Macaca mulatta: one gene and its partner. The protein of the gene in region 2 binds, or shares a complex with, the protein of the main gene of each other region. Links are inferred from orthologs where the notes say so. Each region holds a gene or a part of one and is shown on either strand. Other genes may lie near its edges. The genes, in order: IRF9 and STAT2.

Region 1 (7,216 bases), on a different chromosome or scaffold from region 2:
GTGCAGTGGTGCGATCTCGGCTTACTGCAACCTCCACCTCCTGGGTTTAAGCGATTCTCCTGCCTCAGGCTCCCAAGTAGCTGGGATTACAGGTGTCCACCACCACGCCTGGCTAATTTTTTGTATTTTTAGTAGAGACAGGGTTTCACCATGTTGGCCATCCTGGTCTCAAACTCCTGACCTCAGGTGATCCACCCGCCTTGGCCTCTCAAATTACTGGGATTACAGGCATGAGCCTCAATGGCCAGCCAATTTTTTTTTTTAATTAAAAGAATTAAAATAAAATGGAAGTCGGCCGGGCGCGGTGGCTCAAGCCTGTAATCCCAGCACTTTGGGAGGCCGAGGCGGGCGGATCACAAGGTCAGGAGATCGAGACCACAGTGAAACCCCGTCTCTACTAAAAATACAAAAAATTAGCCGGGCGCGGTGGCGGGCGCCTGTAGTCCCAGCTACTCAGGAGGCTGAGGCAGGAGAATGGCGTGAACCCAGGAGGCGGAGCTTGCAGTGAGCCGAGATCGCGCCACTGCACTCCAGCCTGGGCAACAGCGTGAGACTCCGTCTCAAAAAAAAAAAAAATAAAAATAAAATAAAATAAAATAAAATGGAAGTCAAGGAGATAATTTAGACCTTGTACAAAGAAGGTCCAGGAGGGATTTCATCACATTGCATCACATTGAGGGCACAACAGGGATTGTACAAGTCTGCACTCAGTACCTCATTTCTTTACTGCTAGTGCAGAGCCTGTCTAGGCACTTGGCTTCCCAGGGGGATGATGGACAAGACTGAAGGGAAGAAGGGAGGTCCATGGAGGCAGGGAGGCTCAAAGGCAGCACTGAAGCTTGCCAAATGAGGCAGCAAGAAGGTCCTAGGAGGACTTAGGCATCCAGATTTGATCATGTGTATGAGCCATTGAGGGCTGAAGAGTGAAATGACAGGAGGAAGTCTGGAAAGCTAAGCTGGTGTCATATGCAGGAAGAAGGAAGCTGAAGGCTGTGGCCTGGGTTGGAACTAGTTTGCTGGAAGTGAGTGTACAAAAAAGTAGGTGACAGGTGGCCTTGTGGTGAAGGAAAAACCTTCCAGTTTGGTAGTAAAATGAACACAGGGGAAAGGGAAAGGAGTGTCAGCCAATTTGGAGCCCTCAAGTCTCATGAACAGCATGTTTGTGACATGGCAGTCTAGGCCGGAGTGCCTTTTTTTTTTTTTTCTTGAGATACAGTCTTGCTCGTTGCCAAGGCTGGAGTACAGTAGCACAATCTTGGCTCACTGCAACCTCTGCCTCCCAGGTTCAAGCGATTCTCCTGCCTCAGCCTCCCAAGTAGCTGAGATTACAGGTGCCCGCCACCATGCCTGGCTAATTTTTGTATTTTTAGAAGATGAGGTTTCACCATGTTGGCCAGGCTGGTCTCAAACTCCTGATCTCAAGTGATCCACCCACCTTGGCCTCCCAAAGTGCTGGGATTATAGGCGTGAGCCACTGCACCCAGCCAGCCAGAGTGTCTTTTATGGGGCTTAGATAGAGCAAGGAATCCAGTTTGGGAGTACCCTGCTGGGGTGACGGTGAAATTTGTGCTGGAGGAAGAGGTGCCAGTAACAACAGGTACAGGTTTAGCAACTCTTCGCTCTGACTCCTCTGTTCTCAGGCCCCAGGGCCTCTAGACCATAGTTTTAGGTCACCTTCAAGTGTCTCCTCTTCATTTAGACCTCCAGTCTAACCTCAGGCCCGATGTTGAGGCCTTCTAGCAAGAACTATGAAGCCCAGACTTTACCATGTGAAGTTGGTGGCTATAGTGCCTGGCTGAAGGCTTGATGCCCCTTTCGATGGCCTATCCCAACCCACTCCCTAATCTTGTCTGCCCAGAGGGTACCTCTATAGAGTGCCAGGCCCAGGACCCACAGGGCCCAGATAGCATATTAGCCAGAACCTGTGGGCAGAGGAGAGGAAAAAGGCTGGAGATGTCAGCAGGAAGAGAACCCCAGTGCCCCACTCTTAAGTTTACATCTCTATCTGTGACCACTGCTACCTTCTTCTCCCAGAAAATCAGATACTGATTCCTCTTTCAATAAAATTTTATTTTAAATCCTTAGTGAATATCTAAGAGGAAAATATAAAGTGCTTGTCTTTTTTTTTTTTTTTTTTGAGATGGAGTCTCGCTCTGTAGCCCAGGCTGGAGTGCAGTGGCCGGATCTCAGCTCACTGCAAACTCCGCCTCCCAGGTTCACGCCATTCTCCTGCCTCAGCCTCCTGAGTAGCTGGGACTACAGACGCCCGCCACCTCGCCCGGCTAGTTTTTTGTATTTTTTAGTAGAGACGGGGTTTCGCCATGTTAGCCAGGATGGTCTCGATCTCCTGACCTCGTGATCCGCCCGTCTTGGCCTCCCAAAGTGCTGGGATTACAGGCGTGAGCCACCGCGCCCGGCAGTGCTTGTCTTTAGAGTTGGGAGGTCAGGGAAGAGGGAGAGGCCCCCTGGGTTCACACCATTTGGAATTTCCCAGTCCCTTACAGGTGAAAGAGGGTGTATATGTCAAAATTTAAAAAAAAAAAAAGGAAAAAAAATTAGCCTTGAGTGCTCCACCAACCAGTGTGTGCGAGGATTTTCAGGATACAATTATCACAGACAACTATTGAGACTTATCACAAAGAGGACAGGTCAATCGTGTGAAGAATGAGTCTATTTCAAAGGAGACAGGAAGAACAAAGAGGTGAGGTGGAAGATGGGTACCCCACGCTCTACACCAGGGACAGAATGGCTGCCTGCTGCTCTGGAGTCTCCTCCAGCAAGTATCGGGCAAAGGCCTGCTCCATCTGTATTGGAAGAGATGGAGAAGAGTGTCTTAGTGAGTGCATCAGGGACAGACACCACCCCCAGGAGCTCCTTCCCCACTAGGAAACCCCCTTTGCCTCCTGAAGTACCACTGCCCCCGCTCTCATTAGATGGGTACTCTGCCCCTGCTCTGAGCTCACCTTCACTGTGATAAGATTCTGTGGAGTATGGCTGGGGCCACGGCTCTCTTCCCAGAAATTCAGTGTTACTTGGAACTTCGGTGGGGGGCCTAGGCCCTGGAAGTACTTGGCCAAGTCTGAAAGAGAAAGGGTCAAGGGTTGGAAGAATTTCAAAAAGAAGAGAGGGCCACAGGCAGGGAGGCAATAGTGAGAAACAAATGATGGAGAGAGGTAGGAGGGGGTCCTGCCACAGCAGGAGCTGCAAGGTCAGAAGTACTTGGAACTAAATGCTACTCACCCGTGTGCAAATAGGGAAAGGGTGCCCCTGCCTCAAATAAGTGCTTAGAAGTAGATCACTGCACAGCTGAAAAAGCTCTCTGCTGGGAGAGTTTAGAGTCCTCCCGGGCAGCAGCCCTGGCTGCTAACACAGATGTGCCCAGACCTTTGCTGCTTGCTCACACCCTTCCAGTGCTAGGGTACCCATGGTGCTGGGAACACCCACACTCTGCACCCATGTACACCTGGTCCCACTCTTAAGGTCAGGTTTAGAATTGAGTAGGAGCTGGAATTGGATGGGAGAGAAGCGCAACCCTAAGGCATGCCTGGACTGTAGTAGAGACAGTGCAGCCAGGGCCAGAGTGTGTGATGTGTGCCAGCTCTCCCAAATCTGTGTATATAGGAGAAGACCATGAAGCTCAAAATCTCTGTGCCAATTCTTCTGTGCACCTTCACATAGTGACTGCATGCTTCACTGTGATGGTGTTCTTGAAGATACGAGACTCTTGTGCTGGGCTCTACCTGAACCACCTCTTCCATTGTCTTGGCTGGAGGAGAGCTGCCAGGTAGCTGCCAGGCTGGGCATATGACCACACAGGATGTGCACCACACAAGTGCAGGAGTGCCATGCATAGGCTACATGGAGGATCTGCTGGCAGATAGGGAAGTGGCAGGACCCACCAAGTTGGGCCCAGGGGGTACTAAGAGGTAGGGGGTGGGAGCTCAGGTGCCCAGAGAGAGCAGCCTCACCTCTGCAGAAGTAGGCGGTTCTGAAGAGCTCCACACACTCGTTGCTGGGCAGCAGATGTGGGCCTGGCCCAGGTGGAGCCTGGGGTGCATTCCAGAAGATGGGGATGGGGCAAAGGCGCTGCACGAAGAGGCCTCGGGGGTTGCTGGCCACCAGGATGCCCCTCTCAAGCTGGCTCAGCAGGCGCTGCGTGGGCTCCAGTGGGCCAGGCTTGGGGAACAGCACCTGCTCCATGCTGCTCTCAGAGCCTGAGGGCTCAGCCACAAGGCGGCAATCCAGGCTTTGCACCTGGGCCTCGCCCACCACACGCCCGTTGTAGATGAAGGTGAGCAGCAGTGAGTAGTCTGGGGAATAGAACAGCCCTACTTGGTGCTGGAGGAGCATGCAGGCTGGCAGCAGCCCCTCCCCAGGGGAATAGCTCCACCTTCCCTCCCTGCACCAGCCAGGGGACTTCTTCTCAGGTTTTCCTGTCACTCAGGCAAGTAGCTAGTATGTGATTGACCATGAGGCCTCAGGGTTTAATGACCAGGGGCTTGTAGTTTACTAGAAGGTCCCTTGAGATTGGGCCTCTGTTTGGCCCAATGAAATCAACGTCTCAATGTAGATTTCCAGGAGAGTGTATAGGGTGATATTTTTGGGAAGCAAGCTTTTTGGAGCCTGGCCAGGCATGTGGAATTCTCGCCACCTAGAAACCAGTGCCTTGGGCTATGGTAATGTGGGCACAGTTTGCTGTAAGCCCTGACTGACTAGATAATGCATGCACAGTCAAAGGTGGAAGACCTCGGGGCACAGGGCACAGGAGAAAGTCAGAAATGCCATGTACCTGGCTCTGGAGGAAGCAGAAACTCCAGGGACCTCTGATCCCCTTGAAAGGGGGCCTCAGTTGTGTCTGTACCTGGAAGGGAAGCAAAGGCACTGGTCATTCAGAGTGGGACTGGGGAGTCTTGGGCCAGAGGGTGTGGCATGGGGGACAACACAAGAGGCAGGGCAGGTGGTACCTTCCTGTGGCTCAGGGCTGCTGCTGCTGCTGCTCCCGATGTCTGAATGGAGTGCTCCCCCACTGGCCTCCTCCTCCTCCTGCAGACACAGTGTCTTTTTTTTTTTTTTCTTTTTTTGAGACAGAGTTTTGTTCTTGTTGCCCAGGCTGGAGTGCAATGGGGCAATCTCGGCTCACTGCAACCTCCGCCTCCTGGGTTCAAGCGATTCTCCTGCCTCAGCCTCCTGAGTAGCTGGGATTACAGGCAGATGCCACAACACCCAGCTAATTTTTGTATTTTTAGTAGAGACGGGGTTTCACCATGTTGGTCAAGGCTGGTTTCGAACTCCTGACCTCAGGTGATCTGCCCGCCTTGGCCTCCCAAGACACAGTGTCTTTCATTGGCCCACCTCTCCCTCTAGTTACTGTCCTGCCCTCAGGCCCGCCCAGTTCCCTTTCCATCTCTTACATTATTGAGGGATTCCTGGAGTACAGAGGGACTGAGTGTGCAGTTCTGCATGGCACCCTCTTCCTCCTTCCTCTCAGAGGACACAGAACTGTGCTGTCGCTTTGATGGTGATTTCTGAGTCCCTGGCTGGCCTGTGGAATTGTTGAGGGAGACAGAAAGGTCAGGGTCTTGAGCAGGGACAGAGGGTAAGGGAGAGGTCTGAGGCAGTGAAGAATGCGCAAGCCTAGGAAGGGAAACCTGGGTAGCAGCCCCCAAGGGCACGGACAAGGCAGAGCTATGAGAAGCCTGGGGGAAGCCCGCACATCTATCCTTCCTCCCCAGTCTGCTGAGTCTAGGAGTGGTTGGGCAAGGGGAAACCCACCAGAGAAGGTTCCTGGTGGCAGCAGCCGATACACCTTGTAGGGCTCAGCAACATCCATGCGGCCCCTGTTAGGAACCTCCTCAAATTCGGTACTCTTGTTGAGTGCACAGCGCAGGCGAGTCTTCCAGACAGCGGGGCCTCCTGTGTCCCCTTCCTTATACTTTCCCTTAAATATTGCCCAGGCCTAGGAAAGAAAGCAAGGGAAAAAGAGGCAGTGTGTTACAGGCTCCAGCTGCCCCTCCAACAGGACTGGCTTTATGGGCGTGCAGCTCTAAGCTCAGAAGGGATCATGCAGGGTCTGTGCTCTGTGTTGCCATCTTGAAATCCCCAGAATTTTTTTTTTTTTTTTTGAGACAGAGTCTCACTCTGTCGCCAGGCTGGAGTGCAGTGGTACGATCTCGGCTCACTACAGCCTCTGCCTCCCTGGTTCAAGCAATTCTCCTGCCTCAGCCTCCTGAGTAGCTGGGACTACAGGCATGCGCCGCCAGGCCCAGCTAATTTTTGTATTTTTAGTAGAGACGGGGTTTCACCATGTTGGCCAGGATGGTCTTGATCTCTTGACCTCGTGATCCACCCACCTTGGCCTCCCAGAGTGCTGGGATTACAGGCGTGAGCCACTGCGCCTGGCCAAAATCCCCAGAATTTTTGAACAAGGCCTCCACATTTTCATTTTGTACTGGACTCTGCAAATGATGCAGCTAGTTTTCCTCTCCAATGTCTCCCTTGTCTGAAACCCAGGTAGACGCAAGTGCTCGAGGGTGAGTGTACCAGTGTATACACCATCCCTCACGCAGAGGAACAGTGGTTTCCAAGCCCTTTCACCTTGAAGAAGGCAGCATCCTGGTCCTCTCGGAAGTCCTGCTTGCCTGCATGCTTCCAGGGAATCCGGAACATGGTCTTAGCTGTATCATCCCAGCACACTCCGGGGAACTGCCCGCTCTCCACTTGCTCCACCACCCAGTTCCGGAGTTTTCGGGTACAGCGTGCCCTGCCTGATGCCATTCTGGGGGATAAGAGGAGCAGGAAGCGTCAGAACTGACACTTTGGGAGGGAACATCTCCTGAGACCCTGGCCATTGAGACTAGATTCTGGCAACAGGTCCCAGAGATTCCATCCATTTTCTTTTAGCTCTAGACACATTTCAACACTCTATGAGACAGAATTGTTTCCTTTCTGCCATCACTAGCAATGACAAAAAACAAAAACAAAACAAAAACCCAAACATTGTTTTTAGCATTCTAAGCTGTGATACCTGGAAGGAAACCTTGGGCATTGGTCTTAATTTTAGGACTTTTCAGAAATGTATTGTTTAGGAAGTAATTCCTTTGGTGATCATTCCTGGTGAGAGGCCCTGTCTAGATTCCCGAGCATCAGCAGAGGCAGGCTCTGCTGAGATGCATCAGGCCCTTCACCCACTGCCCCACAGCCTACACAACCTAGCCTC
Region 2 (7,928 bases):
TTCAAGTTTTTGCCAGAAACCACCTCCACCCCCACCCTCACCCCCACCAAAAAAAAAAAGATAGTTGCAAATGTTTCCCAGAATAGTTGTCCTGATCGGATCTGTTTTCTCATGTGTAGTGTTTGGTTGTTTTCCTGTCACCACATTGCTGATTATTATCATTTTTAATTATAGAAACAGTAAAGTACAGTAGTTAAAAATGTGAGTTGGGGCTGGGTACAGTGGCTCACGCTTGTAATCCCAGCACTTTGGGAGGCTGAGGCGGGTGGATCACCTGAGGTCAGGAGTTCGAGACCAGCCTGGCCAACATGGCAAAACCCCGTCTCTACTAAAAAAAAATATATATATATAATTTAGCCGGGCGTGGTGGTACACACCTGTAATCCCAGCTACTCAGGAGGCCGAGGCAAGAGAATCTCTTGAATCCAGGAGGTGGAGGTTGCAGTGAGCCAAGATCACGCCATTGCACTCCAGCCTGGGCAACAAGAGTGAGACTCTGTCTCAAAAAAAAAAAAAGTGTGAGTTGTACAATGGGACTGCCTGGGATCACATACAAGCTTCATCCCTTACTAGTTGTATGACCTTGAGCAAGTCACTTAACCTTTCTGTGCCTCAGTTTTATCATCTGTAATGTGGGGATAATAATAGTACCTGCCTCAGAGGTTGTTTTGAGGATTGAATGTGTTAATATGTGGAAAGGGCTTAATATAAGTTGTACATAGCATATGAAAGCTGTTATGTTAAATCTGTTAGCAGTTTTATATGTGAAAATAGCTTCGATTTTCATTTCTTAGATTATGAATCATGTTGAATAATCCTTTATACGCTTCCTGGATTCTTCTCCCCCCACCCCCAAGTCAGTTTCTGACTCTTCACATATTTATGGAGAGGTCTTGGAACCTGGATGGGGGAATCCAGGAAACTCATGGATTCCTTCTTCCTGAATTTTATCACCCAGGTTCACAGCTGGAGCAAAGCTGTTGTTTCACCTGAGGCAGCTGCTGAAGGAGCTGAAGGGACTGAGTTGCCTGGTTAGCTATCAGGATGACCCTCTGATCAAAGGGGTGGACCTACGCAACGCCCAGGTCACAGAGTTGCTACAGCGTCTGCTCGACAGGTCTAGAGGCCAGGCAGGAACCCTGGGGGAAAGAAGGAACAAGGGAAGCCATTCTTACAGATACTGAGCTATATATTCTTTCCACACCTCTCTCTCCTCAGAGCTTTTGTGGTAGAAACCCAGCCCTGCATGCCCCAAACTCCCCATCGACCCCTCATCCTCAAGACTGGGAGCAAGTTCACCGTCCGAACAAGGTTGGCATTCCAGAACTCATTCCTGCTTGCTTTTTCCAACCCTGCCACTTTGTATTTTCTGGCTTTACAGCTCTTCCCACTCTTGGCTTTTTCTTCTCTCTTTCCTCTCAGTCTCCCTACCTCTTATAATCCCTCTTCTCTTTCTCAAACATCTGGCCTATCCAGAAGGTTGAGGTTGACCACTTTCCCCTATCCCCCTTCCTTCCCACAGGCTGCTGGTGAGACTCCAGGAAGGCAATGAGTCACTGACTGTGGAAGTCTCCATTGACAGGTAAATTGGAGCAGGTGAAGGGTGGCCAGGACATGGGCTGCTGGGGTGAAGGAGATACTCATTCTTCACAACAGGGTCTAGGGCTATCTTCTTCCTCCTTCCGTTCCTATCTCATAGAAATTATAATTCAATTCTTTTGTTGAACACTTACTTTGTGACATGCAGCATGTCAGGTACTCATTTAATTGTCACACCAACCCCATGAATTAACTATTACCGGTGCACCGTACAAACAAAGATACAGGCTTAGAGAGACTGATTACATCTCTTCTCAAGACCACGTAGCTAGTGAGCTCAAGTCAGGTTTGAACCCAGGTCTATCTGATCCCAAAGACCAAACTCCTAACTTCCATACTCTTTTGCCCAATGATTTTTTTTTAATTTATTTCTTTTCAGGAATCCTCCTCAATTACAAGGGTAGGTGCTTGACAAGGACACTGCAAACATCTGTACACTGCACGACCTGCAGAACCACATTCGGCATCCCTGGTGGCACAAACAAGGAGGAGGGGGATTTGGGATATGGACAAAGGGAGATGGCGAGATCTGAAATGAAGTGGAACTTCTGTTTTTTTTTCTGCTGAGTTTTTAGAGTAATTCCGTTCCTTATCTCCATATATCTTCTTCCTCCTGGAACAGCTTCCGGAAGTTCAACATTCTGACTTCAAACCAGAAAACTTTGACCCCCGAGAAGGGGCAGAGTCAGGGTTTGATTTGGGACTTTGGTTACCTGGTAAGAATAGTTTGTGACCTATGCTTTTATTACTATTTTTATTTTTTTTGAGATAGAATCTCACTCTGTCCCCCAAGCTGGAGTGCAGTGGTGTGATCTTGGCTCACTGCAACCTCCGCCTTCCAGGTTCAAGCGGTTCTCCTGTCTCAGCCTCCTGAGTAGCCGAGACTACAGGCACACGCCACCATGCCTGGCTAATTTTTGTGTTTTTAGTAGAGACAGGGTTTCACCATATTGGTCAGGCTGGTCTCAAACTCCTAACCTCAGGTGATCCACCCGCCTCAGCGTCCCCAAGTGCTGGGATCACAGGCATGCGCCACCACACCTGGCCTGCTTTTAGTCCAAAGGAACAGGGGTTGGGGGAAGTTCCCAGGGCTTGAGGAGTCTTGAAGCCAAACAGGAGTTCCGGGGACCCTAGGGTGCCCACTCTGGCATTTTCTCTCCTTCCCCTCAATTCACAGACCCTGGTGGAACAACGTTCAGGTGGTTCAGGAAAGGGCAGCAATAAGGTGAGGCCAGTACAGAGGACTCGGGGGCAGGGGGAACTTGCCAAAGGGCCTTCTGATGACTATGTCTTTGGCTGTCCCAGGGGCCACTAGGTGTGACAGAGGAACTGCACATCATCAGCTTCACGGTCAAATATACCTACCAGGGTCTGAAGCAGGAGCTGAAAGTGAGTGAAAATGGAGGGCAAGGAGAGAGAAAGCAGCTTTGGAAGAAGGCATAAGGAGGGGATAAAGAAGAAAGAAGAAAGGCTTCTTTGGAAGAAGCCTCTTGGGGTGGATTAGCACTCCTTTCCTCTAACAAATACCTGCAACTAGAAACGTCACATCCCTCTGTGTGACTCCTGTCTTCTCCCCAGACGGACACCCTCCCTGTGGTGATTATTTCCAATATGAACCAGCTCTCAATTGCCTGGGCTTCAGTTCTCTGGTTCAATTTGCTCAGCCCAAACCTTCAGGTAGGGAGTGGGGCCGACAGGTCAAGTGGGGAGAGGAGGGGTGTGGAAGCTTGGTGTGATAGGCTTCTTCTGAGCCAGCCTGCACTCCTCCCACCCCTGCAGAACCAGCAGTTCTTCTCCAACCCCCTCAAAGCCCCCTGGAGCTTGCTGGGCCCGGCTCTCAGTTGGCAGTTCTCCTCCTATGTTGGCCGAGGCCTCAACTCAGACCAGCTGAGCATGCTGAGAAACAAGCTGTTCGGTACAGATTTCCTTTTCTCTCAACCTTTCCCCAGCCTTAGTCTTTCCTGTCCCTCTGTCCTATCTATCCCAGGACCCCTGGCTTCCCTCATCATCTGTCTGTGGCTATCTGTCCCACAGGGCAAAACTGTAGAACTGAGGATCCATTATTGTCCTGGGCTGACTTCACTAAGGTAACTCCCTGAATTCCTGTGGAGCTAGATCTAGCCCACATTCCAAATACTGGCCTTCCCATGTTCCTCCTTCCCTACACCAGGGGCAACTCCTCAGCTCTTGCTACCTTTCCATTCCTCCTCCAGCGAGAGAGCCCTCCTGGCAAGCTACCATTCTGGACATGGCTGGACAAAATTCTGGAGTTGGTACATGACCACCTGAAGGATCTCTGGAATGATGGGTAAGGCCTTGGTCCACTTTGTCTCCTGGGCTTGTGCTTTCTGGGCTTGAGAGTGGAGTCTGTGCGCCCTCATGTGGCAAGCAGGGAGAGAGAGCAAAGACAGGCGTGAGGCCATGTCTCCTCACATTTGTTAACAACGATAGCCATAGACAGTGTTTGTGAAGCATCTCCTGCATTCCAGAGCCTGATGCGCGCTCTTCATTAATTCTCTCATCTCATCCTTATGACTATGCTGAGTGGTGGGTTTTGCCATCTTCATTTCAAGTGAGGAAACTAAGTTTCAGAGAAGTTAAAGAACTTACCCAAGGGACAGAGTTGATATTCAAACCCAGGCCTATGTGACCCCAAGCTCATGCTCTTTTCACCACACTGCCTACCAATTTGTGTAGCATTTGGCTTTTAAAAGTGCTATTCATGCCGGGCGCGGTGGCTCACGCCTGTAATCCCAGCACTTTGGGAGGACGAGGCAGGCGGATCATGAGGTCAGGAGATCGAGACCATCCTGGTGAACACAGTGAAACCCTGTCTCTACTAAAAATACAAAAAATTAGCCAGGCGTGGTGGCGGGTGCCTGTAGTCCCAGCTACTAGGGAGGCTGAGGCAGGAGAATGGCATGAACCCGGGAGGCGGAGCTTGCAGTGAGCCGAGATCGCACCACTGCACTCCAGCCTGGGCGACAGAGCGAGACTCTGTCTCAAAAAAAAAAAAAAAAAAAGTGCTATTCATGACCAGGCGCGATGGCTCACGCCTGTAATCCCAGCACTTTGGGAGGCCGAGGTGGATCACCTGAGGTCAGGAGTTTGAGAGCAGCCTGGCCTGTAACATAGTGAAACCCCATCTCTACTAAAAATACAAAAATTAGCTGGGCATGGTGGTGCGTGCCTATAATCCCAGCTACTCAGGAGGCTGAGGCAGGAGAATCGCTTGAACCCAGGAGAGAAGGTTGCAGTGAGCCGAGATCGTGCCATTGCACTCCAGCCTGGGTGACAGAGCGAGACTCCATCTCAAAACAAAACAAAACAAAAAAAGTGCTATTCATGGCTGGGCGCAGTGGCTCACACCTGTAATCCCAGCACTTTGGGAGGCTAAGGCAGGCAGATCACCTGAGGTCAGGAGTTCAGAACCAGCCGGGCCAACATGGTGAAACCCCATCTCTACTAAAAATAAAAAAAATTAGCCAGGAACGTTGGCAGGCCTGTAATCCCAGCTACTCAAGAGGCTGAGGCAGGAGAATCGCTTGAACCCGGGAGGTGGAGGTTGCAGTGAGCCAAGATCATGCCATTGCACTGTAGCCTGGACAACAAGAGCAAAACTTGGCCTCAAAAAAAAAAGAAAAAAAAATGCTATTCATGGCTGGGCACAGTAGCTCATGCCTGTAATCCTAGCATTTTGGGAGGTTGAGGCAGATGGATCACTTGAGCCCAGGAGTTCAAAACCACCCTGAACCACATGGTGAAACCCCGTCTCTACAAAAAATACAGAAGTTAGCCAGGCATGGTGGTGTGCACCTGTGGTCCCAGCTACTCTGGAGGCTGAGAGGTGGGAAGATTGCTTGAGCCCAGTAGGTCGAGGCATGGAGGCAGCAGTGAGCTGTATCATGCCACTGTTCTCCAGCCTGGTGACAGAATGACACCCTCTTTCCCAAAAAAAAAAGAGTGCTGTTCATCTGTGTGATCTCACTGAATCTTCGTACCTCTTCAAACCCTCGGAAGGTCGCTGTTGTCAGCAAAGTGAAGTGACTTGTAAAAGATAAAAAAGCTAAGTGGCAGAGCTTGGTCCAAAACCTGGGTTCCAAACCTAGGCTATTTCTCCATACAAGGGGAGCAGGGAGGCAGGGGCCTGGTGGGGCAGGGGGTTGGGGGACGGCTCACAGCTGCTCTTTGTGCTCCAGACGCATCATGGGCTTTGTGAGTCGGAGCCAGGAGCGCCGGCTGCTGAAGAAAACCATCTCTGGCACCTTTCTACTGCGCTTCAGTGAATCGTCAGAAGGGGGCATTACCTGCTCCTGGGTGGAGCACCAGGATGATGGTCAGCTGCTGTGCCCTGCCATTCCCACAGCCTCTCCTTTCTGCCTGGCTCCCCTCTTGCCCCTCTGCCTGCCCTTGGCTTCCCTGGCTCTGTCCTGCATCCCTCAACCGGTTTGGGACTGGGGAGCCAGAGCAGGGAGCTCCAAGGCCCGGCCTCTTCCCTCAAGCCTGCCTGTTATTGCATTCACTCTCCAGACAAGGTGCTCATCTACTCTGTGCAACCGTACACCAAGGAGGTGCTGCAGTCACTCCCGCTGACTGAAATCATCCGCCATTACCAGTTGCTCACTGAGGAGAATATACCTGAGAACCCACTGCGCTTCCTCTATCCCCGAATCCCCCGGGATGAAGCTTTTGGGTGCTACTACCAGGAGAAAGGTGGGAATTGTTGACATACTTCATTGCTAGATTGCAGAGATCTTCAGACATCCATAGATCCCACTCCTTCCTTTCAAGCATGGGAAGACTGATATCTAGAGGAGTTAAGGGATTTGTCCATGGGATACTGCTGGTTCCTATGGGGATGAGACTGCCAGGACCGTCTGAGGGGAACCTCAGGCTATGTGTCTGGCCCACTGATCTTCTCTGCTTCTTATATATGTTCCTCACAGTTAATCTCCAGGAACGGAGGAAATACCTGAAACACAGGCTCATTGTGGTCTCTAATAGGTGAGATATAAACTCTCCACCCATCCTCCCTAGTCCTTTTTGGCTGTGCTTCAGTGAATTGTCAAAAGGGGGCATTACCTGCTCCTGGGTGGAGCACCAGGACGATGGTCAGCTGCTCTGCCCTGCCATTCCCACAGTCTCTCCTTTCTGCCTTCTCCTAACGTGCCCCTATTCCAGTCTCCCCAGCCTTCCCTCCCTCCTAGCCCACTCTAGTTTTTTCCAGTTCTAGTCTCTCCTATCTCATATTTTTCTGCTGCCATCCTTAGGTTGTCTCCACAGGGGTTTCTGGATAATAATGATCATAATGACTGGTGTTAATGGGCACCTACTTGATGCCAAGCATGGAGCTTTTTTTTTTTTCCCCAGACAGGGTTTCGCTCTGTCGCCCAGGCTGGAGTGCAGTGGTGTGATCATGGCTCACTGCAGCCTCGACCTCCTGAGCTCAAGCAATACAGGCATGCATCACCAAACTCAGCTAATTTTTTGTGTGTTTTTTGTAGAGATGGGGTCTTACCATGTTGCCCAGGCTGGTCTTGAACTCCTGGACTCAAGCAATCCACCCGCCTTGGCCTCCCAAAGTGCTAGGATTATAGGCATGAGCCACCACGCCCCGCCTATATATATTTTTTTTGAGACAGGGTCTCTGTCACCCAGGCTGGAGTGCAGTGGTGCAATCATGACTCACTGCAGCCTTGACCGAGGGGTTGAAGTGATGCTCCTGCCTCAGCCTCCCAAGTAGCTGAGACTACAAGCACACACCACCACACTCAGCTAATTTTTAAAATTTTTTGTAGGGATAGGGTATCACTATGTTGCCCAGGCTAGTCTTCAACTCCTGGCCTCAAGCAGTGTCCTGCCTTGGCCTCCCAAAGTGCTGGGATTATAGGAATGAGCCCTGGCACTTGGCTGGGGATAGTTTTTTTTTTTTTGAGACAGAGTCTCGCCCTCATTGCCCAGGCTGGAGTGCAATGGCGCAGTCTCAGCTCATTGCAACCTCTGCCTCCCAGGCTCAAGCAATTCTCCTGCCTCAGCTTCCTGAGTAGCTGGGATTACAGGCTAGCGCCACCCATGCCTGGTTAATTTTTATTTTTTTTGAGACAGAGTCTCGCCCTGTTGCCCAGGCTGGAGTGCAGTGGCATGATCTCAGCTCGCTGCAACTTCCACCTCCCAGGTTCAAGTGATTCTCCTGCCTTAGCCTCCCAAGTAGCTGGGACTACAGGCACGCACCACCACCACGCCTGGCTGATTTTTGTATTTTTAGTAGAGACAGGGTTTCACCATATTGGCCAGGCTGCTCTCAAACTCCTGAACTCGTGATCCGCCCA

What was found.
Region 1: the proteins of STAT2 (region 2) and IRF9 are in contact, whole or in part, in a crystal structure (PDB 5OEN), measured with the Mus musculus proteins. The link is inferred for Macaca mulatta from reciprocal best matches to the Homo sapiens genes STAT2 and IRF9. Residues at the interface, in NP_064347.1 of Mus musculus: Arg163, Gln164, Lys166, Asp167, Glu168, Asp170, Val171, Phe174, Arg175, Thr177, Val178, Phe179, Leu181, Lys182, Asp188, His190, Gln191, Gln193, Gln194, Leu197, Thr201, Lys204, Met208; in NP_032420.1 of Mus musculus: Leu206, Leu208, Tyr212, Leu233, Asp234, Arg236, Ser244, Glu245, Ser246, Ser247, Met248, Asp270, Arg271, Leu274, Val275, Ala276, Asn278, Ser279, Arg280, Phe283, Val284, Gln285, Leu287, Cys313, Glu315.

Annotation. Positions count from the first base shown.
Region 1 is NC_133412.1:97,280,184-97,287,399, reverse strand, and holds the end of IRF9 (interferon regulatory factor 9), read right to left. Parts: intron 6,776-7,216; 5' UTR 6,775-6,775; coding exon 6,595-6,774; intron 5,957-6,594; coding exon 5,773-5,956; intron 5,543-5,772; coding exon 5,412-5,542; intron 5,044-5,411; coding exon 4,965-5,043; intron 4,862-4,964; coding exon 4,790-4,861; intron 4,311-4,789; coding exon 3,969-4,310; intron 3,868-3,968; coding exon of another isoform or gene 3,741-3,867; exon of another isoform or gene 3,669-3,740; intron 3,080-3,668; coding exon 2,964-3,079; intron 2,805-2,963; coding exon 2,730-2,804; coding exon of another isoform or gene 2,671-2,729; 3' UTR 2,414-2,670; downstream 1-2,413.
Region 2 is NC_133416.1:63,515,595-63,523,522, reverse strand, and holds part of STAT2 (signal transducer and activator of transcription 2), read left to right. Parts: exon of another isoform or gene 1-27; intron 28-958; coding exon 959-1,117; intron 1,118-1,218; coding exon 1,219-1,311; intron 1,312-1,522; coding exon 1,523-1,582; intron 1,583-1,978; coding exon 1,979-1,999; intron 2,000-2,221; coding exon 2,222-2,315; intron 2,316-2,776; coding exon 2,777-2,824; intron 2,825-2,904; coding exon 2,905-2,988; intron 2,989-3,177; coding exon 3,178-3,276; intron 3,277-3,378; coding exon 3,379-3,514; intron 3,515-3,633; coding exon 3,634-3,686; intron 3,687-3,812; coding exon 3,813-3,907; intron 3,908-5,798; coding exon 5,799-5,935; intron 5,936-6,129; coding exon 6,130-6,312; intron 6,313-6,545; coding exon 6,546-6,603; intron 6,604-7,928. UniProt on the Homo sapiens protein: Signal transducer and activator of transcription that mediates signaling by type I interferons (IFN-alpha and IFN-beta).